Mytilus edulis: one gene and its partner. The protein of the gene in region 1 interacts with the protein of each later gene in a biochemical or structural test. Links are inferred from orthologs where the notes say so. Each region holds a gene or a part of one and is shown in the gene's direction. Other genes may lie near its edges.

The links.
Region 2: of the proteins of chaperone Ric-8A-like (region 1) and guanine nucleotide-binding protein G(o) subunit alpha, one has a biochemical effect on the other in vitro, tested with the Caenorhabditis elegans proteins (2 studies listed by BioGRID). The link is inferred for Mytilus edulis from reciprocal best matches to the Caenorhabditis elegans genes ric-8 and goa-1.

The regions. Positions count from the first base shown.
Region 1 is NC_092350.1:6,076,219-6,084,861, forward strand, and holds the start of chaperone Ric-8A-like, read left to right. Parts: upstream 1-4,840; 5' UTR 4,841-4,955; coding exon 4,956-5,042; intron 5,043-7,749; coding exon 7,750-7,797; intron 7,798-8,643. UniProt on the Caenorhabditis elegans protein: Chaperone that specifically binds and folds some, but not all, nascent G alpha proteins prior to G protein heterotrimer formation, promoting their stability and activity.
Region 2 is NC_092348.1:39,848,398-39,857,440, forward strand, and holds the start of guanine nucleotide-binding protein G(o) subunit alpha, read left to right. Parts: upstream 1-5,387; 5' UTR 5,388-5,450; coding exon 5,451-5,479; intron 5,480-7,574; exon of another isoform or gene 7,575-7,623; intron 7,624-7,899; exon of another isoform or gene 7,900-8,797; coding exon 8,798-8,934; intron 8,935-9,043. UniProt on the Caenorhabditis elegans protein: Guanine nucleotide-binding proteins (G proteins) are involved as modulators or transducers in various transmembrane signaling systems. In the 1-cell embryo, probably together with gpa-16, controls nuclear rotation and spindle elongation during mitosis.

The DNA.
Region 1 (8,643 bases):
TTAAGTTACAATTAATGTGTACCTTCTCAATGAAAAGGTTTTATTTAAACCATTCTCTTAATTTTCAATAAAAATGAGTCTCGTTTTGTAAACTTCTGTCTGTTTGTTATCTTTTCTTTCATTGGCCGAAATAATCCAATCAGATTCCGTTTTAATACCGATATTACTTTACAGTACGTTATACCTAATCAGAACTTCTTTTTGCGTACACAAATAGCACTTTTTAATTAAATCGAATTTTATAGTTAAATGAGTATTTAGGGGTCCCACCCCTTATGGAGCAACATATGGGGTTAATGCATTGATTTTTTTTACTTTTTCCAATTTCGGCTGGGACTATGTCAATATAATGTCCCAGGTTTAGTCCCAGGCTCCCCGGGCCCCCCTTTTTCTAGATGCTGGATCCGCAGTGATCGTTTTCCCTTATAGTGAGTGTAGTGTTGCTTATTATGATCGATATACGGTTGCTTTTGTGATATCAACATACGTAAATGATTGGGTTTTTTTTCAGCTAAGGCGAATGAATTAAGAACAATTGAACGCATATAAAATCGAAGGTTGTTCATAAATATGATATAAAACAAAATGAATCCGTAAGCAGTCGAATGTTTGAATATCAGCATATTTTGAAAAAAAAAATATATCGATATTCTCATTTTCAAATCACCGAAATTAAACCATAACAAGTTACCTTATATATGGCAAACAGTTTTAGACTCAATTTCAACACACATTTTGATTCAAAATTAAATGTTCTAATCTTTCCTTAAAATAATTGATATCATTACCGCTAGTTCTTATCTTATTCAAAAATATGAAATATTAATATAAGATATGATTGCAGCGAAGGGATTTGGAAAGAAGATCGTCCTGATATTCATGAATTCATGAAGAAGAAAGAAAGAAACAACTGTTATTGATAATTGATCACTGAAACTGTCCCTTGTACAACTTGAATCCAAATATAAAACACTGAAGTTACTCTAGGCCGAAGAGCTTCGAATCCACTATATATTTTGAACCGGAGAGCTTAAACACAAGTTGATGTTTTGATTCTGCCAAACAAAAAGTGAACTAGATATTGCATTAATTTATACATCTCTGAGTATTACAAAATATTTCAAAAGTTAAGATTCATTTTCAAATTCGCCAGTCCTAGAATCTACAAAAGCAAACATGGAGAAAAAACTAAATATGATAAGACCAGGCAAAGATTGTCAATAAACGTGTAGCATATTAACTATATACTGTTATACCACTGTCCCAGGTTAGGGGGAGGGTTGGGATCCGGCTAACATGTTTAACCCGCCACATTATTTAAGTAATTCTCGTTTGAATTGTTTTACATTGTCTTATCGGGGTCTTTTATAGCTGACTATGTGGTATGGACTTTGCTCATTGTTGAAGGCCGTACGGTGACCTATAGTTGTTAAAGTCTGTGTCATTTTGGTCTCTTGTGGACAGTTGTCTCATTGGCAATCATACCACATCTTCTCTTTTATACACTGTTAGACAGAGAGAAACAAAACATTCAATTTTAAGGCATAAAGTATTGACTGAGAATATTCATGGCTTCATGTTATAAGGGTAGTAAAAAGATAGTGTCAAATGTTATTTTTAAAAAGTTAAATTTTGAATAAAATGAACGTCAAAACATCTCAGAAATTAAGCTTATAATATATTTTGTTTAAAATTGCAAATATGCATATTTCGAGGTTAGGACAGCAGCATAAGTGTGAAGAATCAATCAAATCCTAAATACTAACGCCTAGAATAATAATAAAAAAAGAACCATATAAAAAATAAAAAAGTGCTACCCTATATTTTTTTTTATAAATGAACTTTATCATATACTTAATAGAAAAATGAAATAAAAAAATGGGGTCACCGTTCATTTAAGTTGACAATCTGCCACCGAAAGAAGCATATTAAATGTTTGTTAATGTACTTTTTTTCTGTTGAACCAGAGACATATATACACATATATGTCTCTGGTTGAACTAATCTGAGACCACGTGTTATAGTAGTCTCAGAACTAATAGGAGAAAAAAAGGTAGTATCGAAATAAAAAAAAAAGAACTAAATTACAGAAATCGTTAAAATTTTACAATTATTTAGTTTATGAACAGCTTTTTTGAAAACAATAATAAAAAATATATGTAACCGATGAGTTAAAAAAAATATTTCAATTTTAATGCCAAAAAAATGGCATTTTTGCACCAAAGGGAGATAATTTGGAGCTTTTTCAATGATATAAATACATTTTGATAACAGTCATCTGGGGCCAAACCGAATGGTTTTTTTTTATTGATTTTTGTACCATATCATAAAGTAATAACTAATAGTGTAATAAATAGAAATTTTTGTACCCGCGAGCCTCCTTAAAACTTTATGTTTGAAGTTATGTTAAGGAGACTAAATAGATTAGTAATGGTTAGGTAAAAAGATATAATGAGCCAATGGATGAAAAGTGCATTTTAACGATCCACTGGTTCTTTCATTTAACCTTCTGATTTAGAGTCTTTTCGCAATTCCTCTAATAATTAGACAATAGTATCGGTTGCCTCAAATGACTACCTATTGATTGTCTAAGAGATGCACTTTGACAACATGTATTCATTTATTATACACACAGTAAATTTAAACAATGAAAAAAATGATACACTTGCACTCAGATCTGCGTACTGAGTCGATGTTTTGAATGAATATCATTAAGGACATTTTCAAAATAATGATACTTATTGTGTATAAAATATCCTTTTAGATTTTAAGCTTATTCTTATACAGTTATATAATTGTCGGTGAGAAGATCGTGCTGGCATGGTGTAATATCATATTGATATGAAATTTGGTTATTATTCTAAATCTCCTGACATCCAGCATGTTTACCGCAGTAGTACATCTTTTTGCACAATTGATGATTTGAGTTCAGTATTTGTGATTTTACTTTTTTGTGTTATTTCAAGTTTTGTCATGCATGAGGAACATGTACGCCGTTAATTATATATATATGATTTATTAACATGCAGTTGCGCTATACATATTTCGACTATGCCCTGGCGTTAGGGGTTTCTGGGTTTATTTTCTTTTGAATTTACAAATGAGTTCGATTCTGGCATTACAGCAATAACTTGGTGAATGTATACTTGCGGAAAAACATTAAGAAAGCACTGGCAGGAGGAATCGTCTTTTGTTGTGACAGAAGCATTACTGGTGGACCATAAACTTAAGAAAATGGCATGCACTGTATAAATAAAGTTATTTATTTTATTTTCCTTCCTTTTCCTATCTGCATGGCAAAATCTTATATTAGAAAAAAAAAATTTATACCCGCGAGCCCCCTTAATTCACTGTTGTACCTCTTTATTGTTTTCATGAAAATTCTAATATTTCGTAATTACACATCGTTGACTATTAGGCTATTAAGAAATACATACCTGTTAAGCGACGCATATGTAGATCATTGGCGGATCCAGGGGGGGGGGGTGTGGTTCCGGGGGTTGGAACCCCCTTTTTTTGGACGATCAATGCATTTGAATGGGAGCATATAGTTGGAATCCCCCTTTACTCGGCGTTGGGACCCCCCTTTTTGAGATGGTTGGATCCGCCCCTGTAGATTAAACAAAGTTGATAAATGATACATTTCGTTATCGAGCATTGATAAAGGCCTGCAACTTAGAAAATCAAAATTATCTCCCCTTAATTGACCTTTGACCTTTGACCTTTGCACTTCAATGGAAACAAAGAACTATTAATGCAAATAATTATTGACTCAACCAAAGTACGGGAAAATATTCAAATTCTCGACGAAGAAATTACAACAGAGATAGAAAGAATAAGCAGAAAACTGTGCTATGACCTCCATTGTGGCAGAACATTATTACACAAAAGGATGGCAGTATCAAAGCAGTCTGAGGCAAAAGACCCCGGGTGCAATGTCTAGATAACTATTAATTAATTTTTACCCCCAAAAATAAAAATTGAGTTAGTTAATTATCAGACATATATCTTAAAAGGAAGCTTAAGAGTAAACTTAATTGGGCAATGTAACACAAAAAGGAATATACAATATTTTAGTTTTTTTTAAAAGGCCTAAATTGGTAATATCTCAGATCAAATATTTTAGATTTTATAAAAGTATTATGATTCTATATTATCAACCTCTATTTTAACTGTAGAACAACTGGTTAAATGGAAATAAACTGATATAAATTCTGCATGTTCTGTACAGTAACATAACAGTTAATTTTAATTTTAGTCGTGTACATAGTAATGATAAATCCCAGATCATTAAATACCAATCTATATTTTTATAATCCTTTTATTTTTCTGTCAAGAAATAAATGAATAAACTATGTCCTTTTACCTTTTACCAGTAAATCTATTTCACTCCTTTTTAATCTGTACGTTTTAAGATATTTTGACTAACATTATTATATGCTTAATGTACATAAAATAGTAGGTGTAAATATTTTTATGTTAGTTTTTACATTAAAAAACGGTTTTAGGACAACGATAATCTTTTAAGGATTGTATATATTCTAATCTGGTTTGCTCCATATTTTTAAACAGTAATAAATAAAAATAAGGGTTTTTTTCTGTTACCGTGTGACACGGGTGCTCCGTTGCGGAGGAATTTACATAGAGAAGAAGAAGAAGAAGATCCTTTCCTCAAGCATTTGAATTATTATTTTACGTTTCTTTAATCACTCTGTAATGTTTATGTCATGTTGTAATTAATGTTATGCTCTTAATTGGCCCTTTAATTAATATGGAAAACAAAAATATTGTATTGTATTGTATTACATGTTGATTCCGTAAGACATAAAAGCTGTATATGCACGCACTTATTTATAACTGCAGAACACTATTTGAAATCGCATAAAATGATGAAGCTGAAGATGTCACTGAATATCATAAACAAACATATTATTTAGCAATATTCTGTTATCAAAATGAATATTGACGACAGGTGCTTGCGTATTTTAAACAGTGGATCTGACAAAGAAGCATGCAGTGTGCTACTTGAACTAACAACAAAGGTATGGACTATATATACATTTGTAAGAATGGAAATAAGTCAATTCAAAACATATAAGTTATTATTATTATTTGGAACAGTATTCCGTATCAAAGACCTTTTATTGGTCAAGTACCAGTTTTCTCTTTAGAAATTCATCTTTTTTTCTAGAATAATCTTAAAATGAAATATATTATAAAAAAGAAGATGGGGTGTGATTGCCAATGAGACAACTCTCATCAAGAGACCAAAAGACACAAAAATTAACATCTATAGATCACTGGTATCCGGTCTTTTCGGCCCCAAACCGATCCGGCCCCAAGTCAATATGGCCCAAAGTCGATCCGGTCCAAGTCGATCCGGACCCAAGTCGATCCGGCCCCATAATAAAATATGAAAAAACTATATTCACTATATGGAGGAATTTTTGACAAATTTGAACAGTATATATAAACGAAATCATTAGTCTACAATTGGTTTGTTTATTCAACAATTGTCTAATGATTGTGAACTAAGGTAATGCCACTCGTAATAATCACTTAATTCAATCAAATCCCGATCGATTAATTAAAGTTGCGTAATCAACAAGGTCTTTACATACCTGTCAACCTGTGACGATGAAAATGTAGGTCATGACCTGCATTGAAGAATCAAATCTCAGGTCATAATGCGTACAAACTTTTTCCAGCTGAATTTCAGTTGATATATTATTATAGTTGAAATATGTTTGTAAAACAACAGTGCAATTTATTTACGACCTAAAGCTAAGGTAATTGGTGTTAATTAACACTGTGTTTGACACCAAAGCTGTCAAGTAAAGCCAAGCACTTAATGGGTCACTTAATTTGACAGTTTACACAGCTAGATGAACTTCCTGTTCATGGACGAATTTGCTGGTATTTCAAAGGTTTATTACCTAAGAAATCAATCTCATGGCTAAGAAATACGGGTGAAAACGGGTCATTTTCGGAATTCCCAGGTTATTCAATAACCCGGCGGGTGACCCGGGTGATCCCTCAGAATTGTGAAAATCTCAGGTCACACCCGCAGAATACGGGTCAGTTGACAGGTATGTCTTTATAATTTGATCTTTTGTTTGGTGTATATAATAATAATTAATTGTAATTTTATTTCAGGTAACATCAGAGGCTTCTATATAACACTTTTTTTTTGTAATATTGAATATAGTCAATATATCTGTCACCAAGGTCCACTCGAGAGCACTGTTAGATAAGGGGGAGCTTACTCGTATGTGATGGAACGAAGGAACAGGGGGTCAGTCTATGGCTAGACTTAATGTTCTGATAGGCATAGCTAAAACGCAAGGAAGGTTTTCATAATTTAATTACCATGATTACTATAAAAACTTAGTCGAATGATGATAACAAATCAATTTGTAAACAATTCCAAATAATAATAATAATAATCTAATCAAAGTACAAAGTATCAAATCTAAATATCAAATCCAAAGTAAAGTTATTTCTCCTTAAAATGTAAAATATAAAAATAAATGCCAAAACTACTAAAACATAAAATGTACTTAATCTCAATTTCAAAATATAAAAGTCTCAAAATAAAAGTTTCTCAAAAGTATTTTCTAAAGTTAAATTTATAAGTCAGAGATAAATTTTGTCTTAACACTACACCGCCAACTGGTAGACAGTCTTATAGGTCCAGTATAATGACGTTAGTAGTGTGAGGTTACGCTTCCGAAACACTGACTGCCTTTCCAAAATTTCACAACAATATTTATACCAAAATCTAAAATAAATAAATATGTCTTGACACATTCATAATACTCTCATTAGCAAAAATATACTTTAATTGACAAAGGATAATCCTGTAATGTTTTGATAAAAATCTAAACTTTCAAAGTGACATATGTTAATTGCAATTTATATTTCAAAATAAAGTGCTTTGAGCAAACTGTTACATTTCGAGTATTAATGCCACAGCATAGGTAAAATCAATTAAACAAATTAATTAATATTTTACTAAATACAAACATAAAATTTTCTTTCTTAAAATAAAACATATTTTTTATCCAAAATAACACTAACACAAATTTAAGCCAAATAACACACCATGACATATTTTAAGTTTGTATGTATCAGCTTGGGGATCGGCTTGTACCGTTGTGTGTGTAACTATTTGTTATTACACAAGACAAAAGACTTGTTAGGATCACAGTCAATTGAAAGAAAATGCTAATTACTGCTGATTAATGTTGATGTCTGAATTCTTTTTATATATATGTTTTAATATATCTATATGTAATTATCTTATTGAACATTTTTACTTAGCATAAATTATTTTCCTTATTTTGTGTGATTAAAGATGGTTGCATTGATCATGTTGATAAGTAAATAAACATCAATTCCATTTTTTTAGCCTCGCATGCATATTTTTATTTAGAAGACAAAGCATTGTCTTCCAATGTTGTCAAAATTTCATGTAGATGCTTGAACTTTTTTTTAAATATGCTTGGATTTTGAAAATTATCAATTTTGGTAACTTATTGACTTGTAGGAGTCAATATTTGCAACTTTTTAATTCAGGTCAAATATTTTTTGCTAAACACTATTCGACGTCATAATTTGTCTTAAATTAAAGGGAGACAAATTTTAAAACCTTCAAGTTTAGACCTCTGTGAGTCAAAAGCAGATTTAGACTTATTTATGTCTGAGCTCTGACTGCTTAATTGTGAATCATATCTTTGATACTTTCAGCATGCACAGACCTTCAGTTTTCCAGATCTGAAATTAGAAGCCAAACAGGTACATATTAATTTTTCTTAATCTGACAGTTTGATAGCCCAAAACCCTGAAATTTTGTAAACATGACATTGCTTTGGGTTTGTAAGGCTCAAGGTAGCCTGAATGTCTCCCTCCATCTTTGATTTTGAAATAGCTGATAACAATAGGTCTATTAACTTGCATAAGTGGTGCCAAGCGTTTCCAGGTAAATCTTCCTACAGTTTGAATGCTAGGAAGTATCACTTAGTAGAAAAGCCTTCTTGCATAAGTGGTGCCAAGCGTTTCCAGGTAAATCTTCCTACAGTTTGAATGCTAAGAAGTATCACTTAGTAGAAAAGCCTTCACAGTGAACCTATGTGTTCTCATCCTCAACTTTGTGCATTTTAAGATGACACTTTGCATCTGCCAGGTCATCATTTGTATCTCCCAGACACAATAATATCTCAGTTTCACATTGACTTTGTTATAATACTGTTACTTCAGAGTTGAGTGTGAGGGCATCACTTTGTCTAGTTTCAACTGTGCTACATAAGGGGAGATAACTCAGATAAAGTAACTTTTATTTTTAAAATTATATACATGTACTATATTGTAAAATGATATACATGTACTATATTGTGAATTTACCTTTTTCACTATCATGACTATGAAGCAAGAAAACAAGTCTGATGACCTCATTTTTATATGACTGCAAAAATTGAAAAGTAAATAGAAATCTATGAAATTTTGACACAAGGTTTATGACCACAAAGGGAAGGTTGGGATCGATTTTAGGAGTTTTGGTTCCAACAGTTTAGGAATTAGGGGCCAAAAAAGGGCCCAAATAAGCATTATTCTTGGTTTTCGCACAATAACTTTAGAATAAGT
Region 2 (9,043 bases), on another chromosome or scaffold:
ATAATTATATCCTACATTACTCATATTATCAATTTATTATTTGTGTATTACTTATTGTGTATTTCACTAATGTTTATATAATCATTGTATTATGATGTTTTTGTATCTTGCCTGACAAGGGCCCATGATTGGAAAAATAAAATAATGTCTAATGTCTAATGTCTAATGTCTATCCCGACCGAGCCCTACCTTGCAGAATCGGTATACCTATAGTGTATCAGTTGTTGATTTAGTCTTGTCCTCGACATTTTTAAAACTTTGCATTGCACGAAGAGAAAACAACCCAACGTATCCGGTGTTTCATTTAAGATAGTGTTCATTAGTATACGCATGTTTACATTGGTGTCTTTGATTTCAAGGAATGATATACAATTGCTGGTATATCTTATGGACTTTTGTGATGCTGGGTTTTCTACATAAGAAAATGCCTGTACCAAGTCAAAAACATGACAGTTGTTATCCATTCGTTTGATGTGTTTGAGCTTTGGATTTTGCCACTTGATTAAGGACTTTCCGCTTTGAATTTTCCTCGGAGTTCAGTATTGTTGTAATTTTATTGTTGTCTCCTATTGACGAATACTCAATATACTTCTCGCAATAACTTAAAAATATCCTTTCATTTATCTTCATAAATCCCCACGTTTCTTATTATCAAGACATGATATGACAAAGTGACTTTTAAACAACTGTCTCCTACACTGTGGCATGATTTCTTGGTTATACCCCATTTATCATGGATATGTGGTGCCATTGTAAATGGATATTAATTCTTCGATATCTTGGGTTAATACTTTCGTTATTTTATTAAAATAACACACGACACTGTGACATAAGCATTCAGATTGTTAATTGTTATTTGCTGCACGTCAAGTGACAAATACCTCATGAATGTGCATTGCGAGAAAAAATCATCAATACTTACAATAGGCAGATCCTGCAGGTTAAGAGTCAATCGGGATTGAAGGAAGGAAACGTACGTGTAGCTCTTTCTGTACAAAAGGCAAATGTTTTAAAGTCTTCATTTAGTCGAAATGTGGCTACGTATTTATACATGACCGCACCAACGGTCGCCTCAGTTTATCGCAAGTCATGGGTCAACCTGGATAGAGGGGGGTAAATATGCATGACACTATCTCTACACGGAGCATCGTATTCTGGCCATACGTGGCTGGGTACTTGTACATTCGCACTTTTATACGGTCGCCCCACGTTAGCATGCAGTTCAAAGTAAAGAGTAAATAAAAAGTACTGTGACTGGTCTTCCTGCATGAGTATATGACTAGTTATTAGTTTAAGAATGTTTGCTTGTTAAATGCTTGTAATCCGCTGCATGCATTTGTAGATCTTACTTTACTGAACATTCTTGCTGCTTTCAATTATCTATAATGACAAGGCCCAGTAGTTACAGTAGATAATATTTTGTAAAAAATTTACAAAATTTATGAAAATTGTTAAAAGGGCAATAACTCCGTATGGGGTCAATTGACCATTTTGGTCATGTTGACTTATTTTTAGGTCTTACTTTGCTGTACATTATTGCTGTTTACAGTATATCTGTAACTATAATAATATTGAAGATAATAACCAAAAGCTGCAAAATTTTCTTAAAATTACCAATTCAGGGACAGCATCTCAACAACGGGTTGCCTGAATGGTCTGAAAATTGTAGGATAGATAGATCTTAACCTAATGAACAATTTTATCCTATCAGATTTTCTCTAAATGCTTTGGTTTCAAACTGCATTTTACCCTTTCTACTATTTTTAGCCATGTCGGCCATCTTGGTACAGGGGCGGGGTCATCAAACACAATTTTTAAACTAGACAACCTAATGATGATTGTGGACAAGTTTGGTTAAATTTGTCTTAAAAGTTTCAGAGAAGAAGATTTTTGAAAAAGATTACAAAAATTTACGACAAATTGTTTAAAAATGACTATAGAGGGCAATAACTCCTTAAAAGGTTAACTGACCATTTTGATCAAGTTAACTTATTTATAGATTTTACTTAGCTGAACATTATTGCTGTTTACAGTTCATCTGTATCTATAATAATATTCAAGATAATGACCAAAAACGGCAAAATTCCCTTAAAGTTACCAATTTAAGGGCAGCAACCTAACAACAGGTTGTCTGATTCATCTGAAAATTTCAAGGCAAATAGATCTTAACCTGTTAAACAATTTATCCCATGGATTTGGGAAAACTTTTAGGAATTTTGGTCTTCAATGCTCTTCAATTTCGTACTTTATTTGGCCTTTTTCACTTTTTTGCATTCGAGCGTCACTGATGAGTCTTTTGTAGACGAAACGCGCGTCTGGTGTATATAAAAAAAATAGTCCTGGTATCTATGATGAGTTTATTCCCAATATCCCCATGTCAGATTTGCTTTAAATGCTTTGTTATCAGAGATACATGTATAAGCCAAAATCTACATTATTTTTACCCCTATGTTCTATGTTTAGCCATGGCGGCCATCTTGGTTGGTTTGTCGGGTCATAGGGCACATTTTTAAAACTAGATACCCCAATGATGATTGTGGCGAAGTTTTGTTAAATTTGGCCCAGTAGTTTCAGAGGAGAAGGTTTTAGTAAAAGTTCACGACGACGGACGCCAAGTGATGAGAAAAGCCACGTCTGGTTTGAATGGGGATGCTTAATCCTATGGTTCTTGATGGGAATGTGCAATGCCTTTGAGGGGTCAGCAAATAACTCGTTGAAAGGCGACATCAATACCCCTTTCCAATAAATGTGCATATATTACAGTGGCAGGCGACATCCTCGACGTTTATCCGGGACCCAAAGGGGTTGAATGTGTAGAAAAAATGATTTTTCTGTGTTCCTCTTCAGATAGTTAGTAAAACGCTTGTTAAAGTTGGACTTTCGGTTGGCTTTGTGGGATTAATAAATTCGAACCTACGTCCGGTCAGAACTTGGGGACGTTAAATCGAATACATCGAGTGTCGCGCAATCTGCACTCTAAATACTCTTGCAGCAACTCTATGAGTCCGGAGCGATTTTTCTAGGCAAAAATATAATCCCAAAAATACTGAACTCCGAGGAAAATTCAAAACGGAAAGACCCTAATCAATTAGAAAAATCAAATGATAAAACACATCAAACGAATGGACAATAACTCATATTCCTGACTTGGTACAGGCATTTTCACATGTAGACTAAAATAGTGGATTGAACCTAGTTTTATACCGCTAACCCTCTCACTTGTTTGACAGTCGCATCAAATTCCATTATATTTACAACAATGCGTGAACAAAACAGACATTATAGGTAAAATTGTCAAAATAGGGGTACAGCAGTTATCACCGTGTCACAATCTAAATCAGAACAAAAACAAACAAATATTTAACAAAGAAGCACAAAAAAGCATATATCAAATTCACAACCACGTTAATTGCTTACTTATTTTTGTATTTTAAATCAACCCATGAACATTGAAGTATTCGAAGACCTGTGACTGAATGGCTAGGTTTACATCAACTCTGGTGTAGAATCGCGTGTTATACGTCAGAATGTAAACGTCACACAGTTAGAGATACAAAATATTTTTGTCGTTCAAAGTTTTTTTCAAAATTATAATAGAACAATAACATAATGGCGGGATGTTTAAAAGTACAGAGCCACGTCGTATGTACCAAAGAAACACAAAAAGTTAAACGTACAAAGTACACCAGCAAAAATGAAAGACAATACAAACAATACATTGACGGGATGGATGCATAAGTACCGAGTCACGTAAAATGAATATCACCAAAACCAACCAAACTGTAAAACTGATATTAATAATAGAACAAGGACATCTAAAACAACAATTTAACACGTTATTAAGATGATAAACAACGTCAGTACCTAAAATCTACACACCTAGACCATCATGTATTATGTGTGAAGTTTATTCGGAATATTTATCAACTAGGTCTTGGTACCTTCCGATGAACTTTTTTTTTTAGAAAAAGGACGAAACGTTCTTTGGCGCACCCCTGGTTAATCACTATATGACTTTCTGTTCAGACACTGGTGATGTTTTACAAAGTCTGAGTCGGAGCAACATGCTCTTGAATATCGAATGAATAAGTTGGAAAATGTATATCCCATATGCAGATGGAGTTGGTATATTGCTACTATGGTGGGGGAAATTGATAATTTCAAAATTAAAAATCGTTTCGTTTGTCATAGATTCTAATACTGAGATGACTGTGTATGTAAAATTCGAGGTACAAGTCTAAAAATGAGGCGGAGGAGGCCGTGTCTGTTGTTTCTTTAATTTCTAGTTCTGGGGGATATATTAATGGAACCCAATCAGAAAAGTTCGGATGGTTAATGGAAAGAACATCATCAATATATCTGAAAGTGAAATTAGATAATCTGGCTTCTTGGGTCTGGTTTTTGACATGTGTTTGAAGGAACTCCGATTCATATGAAAACAAGAAGAGGTCGACATGGAGAGGCGCACAAGTCGTTCCTATGGGAATGTCGACTATTTGTAGAAAAAGTCTACCTCTAAATTCAACAAATATGTTGTCGATAAAAAAAAACTTGTTCTTCTGTGTAGCATATTTTACCCGTTTGTTCACTGTTAACAAACACTTTAAGAATCCACATATGGTTAATACCACTACGCGAGAAAGCAGTTTCACGGTATTTCAAAGACCCTCTTTCACTGCAGACAGAATTTAAATGGACAATTATTTAGTGGAACATGCAGGTGAGCCGGCAATGTACCGTTGTTTGTACGGAATTTTGTGAAGCTTAGGTATCCCCAATACAAACAAGTTAAGTCCTCCGATTTGTTGTTCAATGTAATGTTCATTGCAGCCATTGCTGAACATTGCTCAGGACTCCGAATCCCAAAAGGACTAAGGTGTTTACTCTTTGTGGGGTCCGTTGGCAATCTGCTACAAGGCAAATGTCTGTCCCTATCCAAGATACTCACATTATCCAGACAATTAAAATTTCACGCATTTTACCCGGTAGACATCCTATTTTAGGACGTACATATTGTTATTTTGATGATTTGTGCTCGTCCTGAACATGCATGTAATATTTTCCACTGGACGTTTAGCTGAAAACAAACAAAATATTTATCTTGTCGACCCGATATTTTGCAGATGTTACCAGTATTGCATTAATGTGTTCTAGTCATAAATATGCACGAAATATTTGCCACTTGACGTAAAGCAAATATCAATTCATCAATCAATCCATATAAGATGATAGACCCGGCTTATTTTTTATTCTTTGATGATAATTTTTTAAAATTTATAATAGCAGAAAGATAAGATGCATTGTTATATGTGAACCGAATCAAAATAAAACTTTCGCTTACGTATTTAGATCTTTTCAACAGGTACGGACACCTATAAGTGAGTAGTTTTCATGTCCACAATACATCAAATCAAGCTAGTAAATTGTCTGTGCTAATTTAATAGAAGAAAATGAACAGGGCATTAGAGATCAGTGGTAGGTTTGTATCAGTCTTTGTATCATAAATATCATATAAAAAGGATAAAAAAAATATGCCCAGACACCAATCAATAAATTGGATGTTTTTAAGGGGGAGTCTTTTAACCGCCTCGGTAGCGCGCTCACCTCGAGTGCGGGAGGTCATGGGTCTGATCCCGGGTGTGAACAGAATCGTTATACATAATTTAAGCGCCTACCCTATATACAGTTGCCTTAGTCATGAAGATAGTCTGGAATCAATCAAATAAAGAATACGGGTTTACCAAATACCATGCATATATAGGTGTACAGCACCTTATTCGAAATTACTAAACTAAACAATCGCATATACCCGAAAATGACTGAAAAGTCAATCTATTATTTAATGATGTGGTCCTGGCCATTCTATGATGGACGTTAAAGGGGACAACAGTTTAAATAATGACTCTCCGCTTTGCAAAGGACACAGAAGAGGGAATATCTGGGTGTCAGTTTAGGATACCTGGTCTTTCTGCAAACTGTCACCTTTAACTAAAGTGCAAGACAACCGTGTTGTATGTGAATAACATGTAAACGTCCTAAATACGCATACAATATTTAATATCAGCTTAAAATGTTAAGCAACTATTACTAAATCAGTTAAAAGATTATTTGCTTGAAAATTGTGTTGACTGGTTCAAAATTCAGTTTTATTCAGGTCGGTACTTTCCGGTAGCGTCGGCGTCAAGTTGTGATCAGTACATTTATCAGTTTTGAATGTGTTTGAATGTGTTTGCATGGTTTACATTTTATCTATTGCCATTGGAATTTCAAAATTATGTTAAATGGAAACATATCTTATATCAATTGTTTGTAGGTAATAAAACTCCAGTTTTAATTTTATATTACATCAAAATAAACATTTCTTTCCCCTTCATTAATTTTACATTTAATGAACAGTGTTAGCATGGTTGCAAACGAATTAAATCTGTGGTTAAGCCTGTTATTTAAGGATATCAAGACATATTTAAAATATCTATAAGCATAAAATTAGTTTTGCCACGACAATATCTTAAGATTCCCATATATTCATTTCATGTTAGTTTGTTGATGATGTAATGAAATTTTAGGGAAACATGGCTATTGTCACGGAAAAATAACATTAACAGTCCCAATTTTTATTGCACCAGATGCACATTTCGAAAATTAATGTCTCTTCGTTGATACTCGATGCCATATTATTTTAAAAGTCCAAAACCCAATACAAAAGTATTGCAAAAACTGGACAAGTATGAGGGAGCAGTGGCGGATCCAGGGGGGGGGGGGGTTCTGGGGGTGCGCACCCCCTTTATTTTTGCCGATCAATGCATTTGTATCGGGACATATGTTTTGCACCCCCTGCACCCCCCTTTGCCCTGGGTTAGCACCCCCCCCCCTTTCGAAAATTCCTGCATCCGCCCCTGGGGAGATACATTTCTTAATTTAGAATAATTTCTAAATTTTATAATATAGAATATTTAAATAGAAAAATATCTTTTAACATTGTTTGTTGCATAGCATCAAAATTCTTGATTAATCTTATGAAATCTTGCCTTAAAGGTTTTGTTTTTTATACTTTAATATTCTTAGTTTTTATATTTTTTCTACACTAAAAATTTGCGTTCATTTATTGACATTTTAAAATGCACCCTTAAAATGTAAGAATTTAATACAACAACAAAAAACAACTACTTTGTGGGTCAGTACAGATTAATATTTTATAAAACTGCATGCATTACTCTTCTTTTTATCCTTTCCAGTTTTCTGTCAAATATGTGTATCATCTGGCCATGGGTCCAAACATTCCCAAGGATAAGTAGGTTTTTATCAATATATTTATTGACGTTAAACATTTCTATATTTACATGAAAATATAGCTTGTTTGTAAATCAAAGGCTCGTGGGAATCTTACCTAATTCGAGGTACCGTAAATTTGATGCGTCTTTCTGATCCGAGTACGAAATTTCAAAATGCCAAATGTGAGTTTTCTCTATAATTGCGTCAAAGATCTCTCGTTTTTAGGGACCTATTTTTAGATTTATAAATAAGGAAATATATCTTTTGTTACGTATACCTGTGTGTCCTCGTTATTTCAGAAAAACTTAGTTTTTAATAGTTAATAAGGAGGATTGTATGTCACTTTAACTGGTAGAGTACAATACTTTATTCCAAATAAGGCATAATAAGGCTTACTGTCGCCTAAGCGTTTCTTACCACTGCTGTGGTATATACTCAGTATACTTACTTTTACTTATATGCGACCTTCCAAATTATGGAAAGTTAAATTGAGTGTTAAAACATTACGATTTTAAAAACAAAATTCTTATAATTAACTAATTTTCTGTCAGATCAAATGCGATAGTCACACCTTTTTATTAATTATCCATTCATGTATTGTGTTCATTCATCAATTAGTAGATTGCATTTAACACCAGGTGGCGTTAGTTCTACATTTATTAAACTTATCGATCTGCGGCATCTGTCAACTAGTTTTAATGACCAAACACACAATTAAATTATTTCCACCAGCTGTAGAGACATAACATTTTTCTCTCATTAAGTTTTCCATATATTTACACGTGAAAATGTACGCATAAATAGACATCGCCTTAGAAAATTGATTTCACAGGCAGTGGCACCGCCCAATCAGCATCATCAGCTACCTGTGTTCGTCTGCTGATGTTATCTACAGACAATTCATTTTGTATGCTACAAGATTTCCAAGGTATACTGAAGAAACGCGTGTTTAATATTCGATTAACAGTTTAAAGACAAAAAGTTGACATTGATTTTTATGCATTTTTAGCAACGGAGGCTGCGGATTAATGTATTAAAAGCCCGTGCGCGGACTGACGTCACTTAGTAACCCCCATAACAGAAAAGATATCTGCACAACGAAGCGATCGATTTTTACATTGGATGGTAGCAAGTTGCCGCATATTTAAACAGGCTTTGTCGTGTGGCTTGTTTGCATCTATGAAACCGGTATATGGGTAGCCATTTTGTTGATGAAATATTTAGCCGGAGATATGCTTTAGCTAAAAATATATGAAGTTTTCATACATGTCCGTGTTTTTACCGGCATCGCTAAAACGGTGTGATGAGTAAGGTAGTTGGATGTAAATACGAGAGGTGATTCTGTGAGTCAATCGCTTTTACTTGTATATTCAATGAATATATGATAATAACGAATTATTTGGATTGTACTTAAAATATATTAATACACCACATTGTTTGGTTTTTAACAATTCCATCTCTTTAGAGCTTGAGCATACATATCAGGCTCAGGGGTGGAATACATCGTTAATTAAAGGATTTTTAGATTAAAGACGTGCATAAAAATGGGGTGTACTATGAGTGCAGAGGATAGGGCGGCCCTTGAGAGAAGTAAGGCCATAGAGAAAAATTTGAAAGAGGATGGTATCCAAGCTGCGAAAGACATCAAATTACTGCTTCTAGGTAAGAATATTATCGTATTTTAATGTTAATTATGCTTGATAATCGAAAATGAACAGATATGGATGTATATTTGCTGACATTTTGGAATTTGATTTATGCATATAGTGGT